2 linked regions of the Tamandua tetradactyla genome follow. The protein of the gene in region 1 interacts with the protein of each later gene in a pairwise test. Links are inferred from orthologs where the notes say so. Each region holds a gene or a part of one and is shown in the gene's direction. Other genes may lie near its edges.

The links. The genes of interacting proteins can lie anywhere in the genome.
Region 2: the proteins of CEP63 (region 1) and SNRNP70 interact in binary tests that used the Homo sapiens proteins (3 or more experiments, as listed by UniProt). The link is inferred for Tamandua tetradactyla from reciprocal best matches to the Homo sapiens genes CEP63 and SNRNP70.

What each region holds. Positions count from the first base shown.
Region 1 is NC_135341.1:78,283,457-78,290,547, forward strand, and holds the start of CEP63 (centrosomal protein of 63 kDa), read left to right. Parts: upstream 1-2,601; 5' UTR 2,602-2,685; coding exon 2,686-2,747; intron 2,748-2,972; exon of another isoform or gene 2,973-2,995; intron 2,996-5,022; exon of another isoform or gene 5,023-5,031; coding exon of another isoform or gene 5,032-5,060; intron 5,061-7,091. UniProt on the Homo sapiens protein: Required for normal spindle assembly.
Region 2 is NC_135342.1:12,037,245-12,040,844, reverse strand, and holds the start of SNRNP70 (U1 small nuclear ribonucleoprotein 70 kDa), read left to right. Parts: upstream 1-989; 5' UTR 990-1,205; intron 1,206-1,488; exon of another isoform or gene 1,489-1,599; intron 1,600-2,016; 5' UTR 2,017-2,026; coding exon 2,027-2,173; intron 2,174-3,600. UniProt on the Homo sapiens protein: Component of the spliceosomal U1 snRNP, which is essential for recognition of the pre-mRNA 5' splice-site and the subsequent assembly of the spliceosome. SNRNP70 binds to the loop I region of U1-snRNA.

The sequences.
Region 1 (7,091 bases):
GAAAGGCTTACCTTCTCATCTGGGTTAGATGACAATTTTTTATAAAACCAGTACCCACTCTCAACCTTCACCCTCAGCTGATGGATGCTTTATAGTGTATACTGGATATATGTAGCCCAGTTAAGGACTAGTTTCATAGTGTGGCAGGAGGGTGACATAACTGAGAGTATCATCTTCAAGGCCACAGTACATCTAAATGTAATTTCTCTCTCCTAATTTGCACATTCACCTTTCCTGTGATGCCTTTGATGAATCTCTGACTTATAACAGTCTCTTCTCCAGCCTCTCAAGGTTTTTGCACCAAATTTACAAAAGTCTCCATCTGCCTTGGTTCTAATCTCTTGGGCAACACAGGGAAGTAAGACAGCAACGATGAACAATGCAAATTAACTAACCATAGGCGTGACACAAATCCTCAAAGCAAGAAAGATGTCAGCAGTTGAGCTTATAAATGAAACTGCCTCCTTTCTTAAAAACAGAGTCCAGGCTGAGCCCTGAAAGGAGCACCTCCAGGTGAACACCAGTGGCCGGACTCCATGCTGCTCTTTGGGATTCCTTCCCAATTCTTTCTGTTCTCTTTTCAATGCTCCTTAAACATAGCTGCTTCCCCATCTTTTTCTCCCTAACAGCTGCAATCTAATTCAAAGGACTGGCCAGCTCAATAGGTACCTCTGGGCTCCCTTTTTCCAAGTTTAGGTCCTGTCTCCTCACCACAGACACCATTCTACTGTGCTCAGTGTTACAAAGGGGCCATCTTGAAGGCCTGGGGGCCACTGGCTTGGGAACTACTCTGCGACACTCCCAACTTCTGAGGCTATAGATACTCAAACAAGAAACAATCTTTGGGGATAGAATTCAGTTCCTTCACACAGACTTGTGCTTGGCCCTAAAAGTAAGACTACAAGACAGCCCTAATACCTGGATAGTAATTACAGCAGTTGGGGAGGGAGAAGGGTCAAAAGGTGACAGATACTTCTGTCAACAGTGGGCCACCTGAAGGATCTTCCTATTTCACTCAAGAATTAATCCAGTACTACAGGGTGGATAACACAAAACAAGTTGAAAGATCCTGCCTTTAGGATACGTACACACAAGGGCCCCTCGCCCCCAGTTTCAGTTATACTTGTGGAATCCCTGTCCTCCAAGAGCTGCTGCCACTCCACTGTCCTCTTTGCTCTGCTCACTGGAATACCCTCCTCACTCTTCTCCACAGATTCAAAGCTGCTTATTTTCCCGCAACTACACAAATTCCACGTTTTTAGTTTTCTCAAATCACCTCAGTTTCAGTAAGCTTTCTGTCCATATGAGCCACAAAACAAGTTAGGCAGATCAACTCAAATGTTATTGTTTCCAATTATTATATGTACATTTTGTACTAATCACTCCTTAGCACACCTTCTTCAATTTGGCCTCAAACTTTTTTTGACCTGTCTCTGCTCCAAATACCTCCAATCACGCCCCACTGAGACTCTGCCTTAAAGTTGTTTTTTTTTTTTTTTTTTTTTTAACCCCATCACAAACCCTTACTTTTCCTTCCAAATTCAGCTGAGAAGCAGCTCTTTGGATTCAACACAGTTTTAAGGCTGGGAGGACCTCATCCGTATGGTGCTGGGAGAATGGGAAGAATCCAGGACACGGCCACAGTCCCAAGCACCCGCCGCACGTGACAGAAGGAACCACAGGTAGCTTCTAGAACAAATTTCTTTTACTGATATCTTTGTGCCTAGCCACGTGACAATCCCAGAGCCTGGAATGCTCTTTCCTTTTCCTTCCTTCCGGCTAACCCCCAATCAGCCACAAAAACTCAGCATTCCCAAATTGCGGCCTGAGAGCGCCACCCGCCTGCCCACAGGCCCGCTGGGGACAGTGAATAGCTTCAGGCGGGAAGCTTGTCACATTAAGTGCCTATTATATGCGTCTTCCCACACACGTGGTTCGCGCGTCCCCCGAGACAAAGACAGATTTCATTCATTTCTGCCGTTTACAGAACCGTAATGATGTATTCATACGACTAAAGGCGGGAAGGGACTTTGCCTTGTCTAGAAATGACCCTCACAGGCCACCACCACCCGTACCGGCGTGTGGCCGTCCTATAGCCGCGGTTTCCGGCCTAGGCTGGCTATACCAAATGTGGAGATGAGGGGTGGTGCATGTCCTGGGCGGCCACGCAGGCTCCTTTTCACCCGACACAGCGTGCGATAAGGGCAGTGACAACGAGGAAGAAGTGAGGACGTAGCCCTCGGCCGCTGCAGGGTAGGGAGTGGGAGTAGCCAAGACCTGGGCGAGGAGGGCGGGTTACCCTTACCGGTACCGGGTTCGCCGCGGCACCCGTTTCCGCCACGCCACCACCACTGCATCACGTGTTCCATCCGGTCTTCTCTCGCAGATTTCCGGATGTGGGTGAGTCCATTTGCTTGCGCAGAGGGGAAATCAGGAGGACTTTTCAATGAATAGTCAGGGGCCAGTGGGCGGAACGAACGTGCCGACGACAGAGGCAGGACGTAAGGTTGGGGGTGACGCGCGTGCGCGCTTCTGGCCCGAGGTAACGGCGGGAAGGCTCGGGGCGCGCTCGGGGCGCGCTCGCGGCGGCCGCGTAACCGCCTGTGCGCGCGAACTAGTGGGCAGGGTTCGGGCGTCTTGGCGTACAGAGCCCTGGCCTGGTGGTGCCTCGGGCCGTGCGGCCGCATGGCCGGGGAGTGGCTCTCGGAGCGGCCTGCCGGCCAGCAAGCCCACCCTCGCCGGCCCAGGTCCGCTCTCGCAGCCCCCTCGTCGGCCTCGTTACGAGCGCCCTGCGGATCCGCGAGGGCGAACATGGCACCCTCCCGGCGCGCAGGCTAGGCCCGCCTGTTGGTCAGCCCTTCCCGCGAGGCCGGGGGCCGGGGGCGGTGGGCGAGCCGCTCCCCGGTCCCTGTCTTCCCTGCTGGGCCGCCCGCGCGCCCTTTTGTCCTTCTTAGGGGGAAGCACGCACAACAGACCTTGCAGGCCCGAGTATTTGGTTAGAGCTGCCTAACCTTTGTTGTGACTCATTTACCGGAGGTGTTACCGGTTCATTTGTGGCGGGATATTTAGTAACAATTTATAAGTGTTATATTAGCAAAGTAGGTACGGGAATGTGGCAGAAATCGTGAAGGACTGAAGTGGGAAACCTAGAACTAACGGTTGCTCCATGCATGGAGTTAAAAATGGGAACTAAATGATAAAGATAGTGGGTTTAAAAAGGACGTTTCCTTAAAAACACTTTGTGACAATATTGGAAGACAGTACATTTAGGCTCATCATGTGGCTTTTCTATATGCTTACAATATCAGCCTGATGATAGACTACTCTTAATTTATAGAGCACTTATTTGTACTGGGTAGTAGTTCCCGACGCTTTTTGCATCCGATTCCCTAAACCATTCAACAAATTTTATTTTATTCCTTTAATTAAAGGTTAATGTTTTTAACCTTTAATGTAGGGTAGCTGTGCACACTAGCATCTGTTTTATAAGATATGAAGGGGAAATAAGGATCAACTACACATGACTTTAAAATATTTTGCATTTACATTTATAAATAGGTGTAGCTTAAGGATATAATAAAGAGTATGCATTTTCTTAATTTGGAATGTGGTGCGATCTTTTAGAGTAATTTTTATCCTGAATTTTCTGCGATTATCCTGAAAAGGGGGTTGATTTTTTTATATTACTCTCAGTTCCGTTTGTGTCTCAAACATGATTGCTCCTTGCCTTTTGATTATATTGTTATCAGTAATAGGTATGGTAAAAATGGCTGTGAAACAAAATTAGGTCAGAGAGTTATAAACATTCAATCACACCACCCTTTAAAATGTCTGATTAAAATTTAAAAAATTTAAAAATACAATTGTAATAATTGTGTATGTTAATTGTACCAATTCTATTTTCTTCCTATGAAGAGGTAGAAGGTCTTTGCTTAGTCCTTTCCATTCTCATTTGTGTTGTGGAAGTGGTGGCAGTTATCAGTAGGCCACTCTATCAAGAATTCATTCTAATTTTGAAGTTCTGCTAAAGTCTTCATTAACTTAAGGTTTCAGGAATTGAATTTCTGATTTTTATGTTTAAGTTATTTTTTTCTCTAAGAGCTAGGATTTCTTGTTTTTCAGTTTTTCAAAACAGTCATATCACACCTACAAAATCAATAAAAATTCCGTAATACCAATATACTGTCATGTCACATATCCCCAACTGTCCCATAAATGTGTTTTTACGTTTAGTGTGTTCGGATTAAAATCCTGTGAAGATCAAAGTGTTGCATTTGGTTGATATACCTACTTGCACCTTTAAAAAATACGTATCTTTTGAGTCTCTTTTGTAATCTGTAGCAGTTCCCTCTCCTCCCTTTTGCCTGGTCATTCCAGATCTGCGTCCATATGATATCCTTTAACATGGACATTTATTCCCTTTATTTCCTCTAAACTGGTAGTTAGATCTAGAATTGCCCTGTCCAGTGTGATGGTCACTAACCAGCTTAGAAGAAGATTACATTAAAAGTTCAGTTCATTAGCCACATTTCAAGTACACAATAGTAAGATATAAAACATTTCCATAATTGCAGAAAATTCTTTTGAACAGCACCGATCTAGAGGCTTGATCAGATTCATCTTTGATTTTTTTTGGGTGGAGCACAAGAATATTTCATATATGGTTTAGTGTATTTCCTGTTTAGTGCTATTTTCATGCAGGCACACAGTGTCAGAGTTGTCCTATTTGTGATGTAAAGATTGATCATTGGGTTCTGGTGTTGTCAGCCAGACCCATTCATCCAGCATGAACCTCGCCTTGAGTCACCCAGTGATGAAGTTCTCTTGGATTCAGATTGTCTGTACCCATTATTGTATTAGGGACTGCAAAATGTTGGTTTTCTAATTCTATCATTCCTTCTATATTTATTAGCTGGAAAACTTTTATGAAGAACTTTCTCTCATCAGCTATTTGATTATCCTGAATTACAGTTTGTTCAGGAAAGGCAAGAAAAATGCTAAATTTTTTCCCTCTATTTTCAGACTACAGTAATGAGTCGATGCCCTAGCGACCTCCAAAGGTAACCATGAAGGTTTTTGCTAATTTTTTTTGCTATCATCCTCATGAACTCATAGATTTAAGTATATATAAACTCTTTCAATCTATTGAAATCATTATTCTTTTTGATACTCAAATTGTCCTACCTTTGGCCAGTTGGAGCCTCTTTAAGTTGGCTCCTATTCCTCTAGAGGATTCCAGTGGTCTTTGATAATTTCCTTGCTTTCTGGTGCAATAGGTTCCTGGTTCATTTTATACATTTTTGGCCTCCAAAGAGCCCTGTTCCTTTTATTGGGAGATGGTATTTAGAGACCACACAGTCTGGGTGCCAGAGGTGCTTTTGCTGTTAGGTTGGTTTTGGGTTCTAGGATTTACAGTCATTGGAGCTAAGAAATACATTTTTTAAAAGGAAATATAGAATCCATACTAATATTTCCAATGTAAATTTGATTTTACTGTTGTTTTTTCGACTTTGTTTTTTATGAGTTTGATTTAGTATTTGCATTTTTTTCTCTTTTGTTGAAAATCTTGGTACCTAAATTTCGTTAATTTTAATTGCCTTATCCTACATTATATATACGGGTTTCAAATGGACAATACCAGTGTTATTATTAATAATATGATTCCTGGATAGTGTTTAGAATTTGTTGTTCTTTTTATCTTTAGTATTTTTCACACAAGGCATATGTATAATAAAATTATTACATTGTAATGGTATGTGAAATAATTTGTTGTTATGTTTAGGTTGCCAAGTTGATACATAGTTGATGGCTGATTCATTTATTTAATTTTATTTCCACTTTTTCCATATTGATTTTTTCCAGTTTGATTTGTTTTATTAAATGCAAAACTTTAGCATAATTCCTATAAAACAAGTACCATAGTTCCTATAAAACAAGATATTCTGAGAGAAGTTTAGCATTTCTCTCTCTTTTCCTCTACCCCGATTGTTTCCCTTCCCTATAAATAATCATTTTTACTAGTTTTGGGTTTATCCTTCCGTGAAAACAAATGCATCAGAAGCAAAAGCAAAATGTGTGCGTGTGCATTTTCTTAGACAAAAGATGGCATTTACATGTACTCTTTTGTATCTTGCTTTTTTTTTTCACCTAACAATATATGCCTTGTCACACCGTGCTGTAGATCATTTTGCCTTTTACTGCTTCGGAGTACTTCATTGGTGGATAAATAGTCAACTAATTCCCTGGTGATAGGCATTTGTGTTGTTTCTTGCTATTACAAATAGTGCGGCAGTGAATATGTTTGTGTATGTAGCATTGTTTGACCAAAGGATAAATGTGTATATGAGTTGTTAGGTGTTGCCAGAATCTCCTCTACATACAGTATTGTACCATTTTGTATTTTTATCTTGGAGGAAAGGCACCCATTACCACCTCCAGGTTAGGAGTCCTCCCATATGGAGGATAGCAGAGATGTCAACCCACTCCATAAAGGTGTCGGAGACACCAACAAAAGACACCACTTACATAGGGCCCTGGGTGGTACAATGATTACTGACATGGAGAAGAGATAAAGCAAAGTCAGCTTCACAGGTGCGTGTTGGTCCTTCTTAGCCAGTGGATGTTGCTCTGCTGCCAAAGTGAGATGATCTACAGACACCCTTCTCTCTTACGTGCTGTAGGCAAGTGATCCCGCTCCTTACGCAGTGGGAACTGATAGAGCAGCAGACTTGGCCAGATACCATAAAAAACAGAATCTGAATGTTTACATATGCTCTGGACAAAGCGGGACGGAATGTGCCAGCAGATCGCTGTCTGCTAGGGAATGTGTTCTATCTAAGTCAGGCTACCCAAGGAAGGGTATCCTTCATCCCATATCCATCATCCTTCCTAGACAACAGGCCTACACAGCTCGTCCTGAGCACAGTGTTTATCTGTAGATCACAGGGACGGGTGGCAGGCTGTGAGCAAGGTTGAGCTTCTTTTTACAGGTTTAAGGTCGTTGACATTTTTTTCTATGAATGCTTGTTCATATCTCTTGTCTATTTTTCTATAAATTTCTTATTTTCCCCTCAATTTTTGGCAGCTCTTTA
Region 2 (3,600 bases), on another chromosome or scaffold:
TTTGTCTGGAGAAACCGTTATGCAGAATATAATGTCCTTATTCTTAGGAAATTCATGCTGAAGCATTCAGGGGTGAAATGCTGCTGCAATTTACTTTCAAGTTCAGAAAACAAAACATAGGAAGCGGATACACACAAACAGGTAAAGCAAATATGTCAACTTTTTAAAAAATATTGCTTCAATCTCAAGCATCTCTAAAACCAACTCAGTAACTAAAATTTGGTAATAATTTCTGTAATTATTATATTAAATAGGCAACTGAATACAACCAAATTGCAACAGTTAATTCGTTAAGATATATAAAGCCCTAAATAACATGGCTGCCAGTTCTGTGCCCTCATGGCTCCTCACCTAGGGCCTTGGCACTTGCTGTTCAAAGGTCACCTCTGAATGGCATGCCTCTTTTAAATAGCCCCGCTCTCATTTTGCATCCTCTTCCTCTGCTCTATTTTCCTTCATCGTGCCGGCCACATCTAGAATTATTTTCTTCATTTAAATGTTTTACTGTCTTCCCCTCAAGAGAATGTAAGTTCCATGAGATAAAAGGCTTTGTATTAGCCATATGCTATATGTTCACCAGCGTTCCAAACAGCGTCTATCAGACTGCAAGCGCTCGACAAAGCTGTTGACCGAATAGATTAGACATCCCGCTGACCACTTCTCAAGTAGGAACTCTTTGCCAAGTGGCGGAAGGGTACATGTAATACGTTACTACGCATGCGCACAGACTCCGGGAAGTATTAAAAAGAAGGGGCGGAGTATCAGAAGAGTCTCGCGAACAGAAGCGGTTGGGGCAGAGAGCGCGAGGAGGAGAGAGTGGCTGGTGCGGCTCGCTCGTGCGCAGTACGGAAGCCAGTCAGCCGCGGCAAAGCCGTTCAGGGCACCCGAAGGCGGGGGCAGCAGTCGCGCGCGTGCGTTGTGTCCCGTCCCTGTGTGCGAGGGGCTCGCGACTCGCGCGGCGCGTGCGCAGTGCAGCCAGCGGAGGGATCCGAGGCGGGGCCCCACCCCCTGCCCCCATCGGGAGCCGAGGCCGCGCGGGTTCGTGAGCGGCAGCCTGGTGCGCGCGCGGGGCCGGCGGTAGAGCTAGACAGACGCGGTCGTTGCCGGAGTCGAATCCGAAGAAGAAGCCCCTACTACTGAGGGGCTGCCGCAGCCCCCGCGAGGCCCCGGACCGACGCCAGGCCGAGGAGGGCGCCGCGCGGCGGGTGAGTGACTGGCCTTATCGGGAGCGGGGCTGCTACCCACAAGGCCCTGCGGTGGGCCCTAGCCCCTTTTCCTGCGGCCGGGCCCTCTTCCCGCGCCCTCGGCTCAGCGCTTTGGTGCACCTCTTACCTAAAGTCCTCTGGTCGCTTGGGCCCCCTTCCCACGGCCCCCTTCCCATAGCCCTCCGCGGTCCCCTACCTACAGATCTTTGCGGTGTTGCCTTTTTTCCTTTCTGGCCTTTCCGCAGCGTCCTAGACCCTTACCCATAATTCCTTTCGCCTTTGAAGGCTGAGACCCATTACCCACAAGCCCCTACCTTGATAGGTTTGCTATTTACGGTTCTCTCCCTTTGATCGGAGACTTCTACTTCCAAGATCTGTGCGCGACCCCTGCTCGGTAAATTGTCCCCCACGGTACAGACCACCAGGCACCATTGCTCTGCTCTTTCTTCGTCAGGGTCCTTGATTTCCCTACAAGCCCCTTGCTAGGGAACTTGTCTACTCAGAAACCCTTTTCCAGTCCTTGTTTCCCTTAGTGGCCTCATCCCCAATCCCCTGCCCTCCTCCTCCCAAGAACTTGCTTTCTCATTCGGATTTATTATTTATTTATTTTTTGCATGATCAGGCACCAGAAATCGAACCCGGGTCTCTGGCATGGCAGGCGAGAATTCTGCCACTGAGCCGCCATTGCCTGCCCTCTCATTCGGATTTACTCCTTTTTCCCTGTGACATGAAAACCCAGTGTTCTGTTTTCCTCTTTTTCTTGAGAGTTAAAACCTATCCTAACTTAGGGCCTTCTTGCTTCTACCCTCAGACCTGGCAAGATGACCCAGTTCTTGCCGCCCAACCTTCTGGCCCTGTTTGCTCCACGTGACCCCATCCCGTACCTGCCACCCTTGGAGAAACTGCCACATGAGAAGCACCACAATCAGCCATACTGTGGCATTGCACCCTACATCCGAGAGTTTGAGGTGAGTTCACTGCTGGGATAAGGAGTGGTTTAGGTTTTGGGGAGGTCATTGGGCTGGACTTAGGAATCCAGTCAGGCCATTTTCGAGCTGGTGCCTTATTCTTTCTTCTGTGTCCCTGTCTTAAAATGGGGTTGATAATATGTCCCTTCTAGGGTTAGTGTGAAAGTTCAGCAAGTAGTAGACTTTTACACCCAGGATTTATCAGTAGGTGACCTTGGGCAAGTGGTGTATCCTCCTACTGCCTTGATTTTTTCATTTTTAGCAAGAGGGCAATAGTATTTTCCTCATAAGAGTGACAGAGAATTAAATGGCAAAACTTAGTGTCATAGGGCTTGACACCAAGCAGTCAGCAATGTTAGCATTTGAATTGTAGTTACTGATTTTATCATTAATAGCATGACATTCACAAAGACTTAGACCAGTGCTTAAGGCCACAGGCTTGGGAATTTCAGCTCTGTACCTCCAGGTTAAACCTGAATATGTGACTTAAGCTTCTGGACATCAGTTTTTTCGTTCAAAAGATTGGGATAACAATACTCATCTTTTAAGGTGCATCGAACCACACTTGAGAAATAGTGGTACACAGCCTGAAGTCATAAGAAGAAAGTTCTGGCACTGGGTGGTTGGGCTGGGAATTCTCATCCTTGTGGGAAAGGGCAGCTGGAGGTAGAGAGAGTTTTAGAGCAGCGGTTCATAAGATGATAGGACAGTTGCATCTTTAGTGGAAATTGCCACCTTCAGTGAAATGGTACTTGGGAAATGCTGTTGGTCAATTAAGCAACTTTAATGGATACGGTCAGTGGCTCCCATTGATGATACTGGTTATGTGTCATTTAATGAGTGTTTGGGGAGACTCTGACAGACTCCTCTCAGGTGGTATCCATTTGTTTGCCTCTGGACCCTGCACGGTCTGATCCTTTTGCTTCAAGCCTGGTCCTGCTTCTTGGCGTCCATAAAGAAGGGCCCTCTCATCACTCCACAGAGCAGCCTTTGGCACTCTGCGCACTTCGGAATGATGCTTGGGGGCTGTGAGATGCAGGATGTTCCCCAAAATGGGAGATGACATTCTGTTCTTAAGTTTGATGTCATCTGTGGCAGTGCTTCTTAAATTATCTGTGATGGACAGAGTTTTTCTATTTCCAATCTGTTGCAGGTTAATCATTTTATAAATACAATACGATTATTTTCATTTTTGTAGTACATTTTTAAATGAAGCACATACACAATACAGGATCAAATTTTTATTACTAGGTTTTCCTTGGTCAGATTGCTATAGAAGTTTCTAAGTACCTTTAGTTTCTGTACCTCTTGTTACAGACAGTAGGTTTGTGGACTAGCACTGGTCTGTGGCTCACTCTAAATCTGTGCCATTCCCCTGCTCCCACCATGGCATGTGAACTGTCCCATGTTTGTTTGTTTGTGTAGGT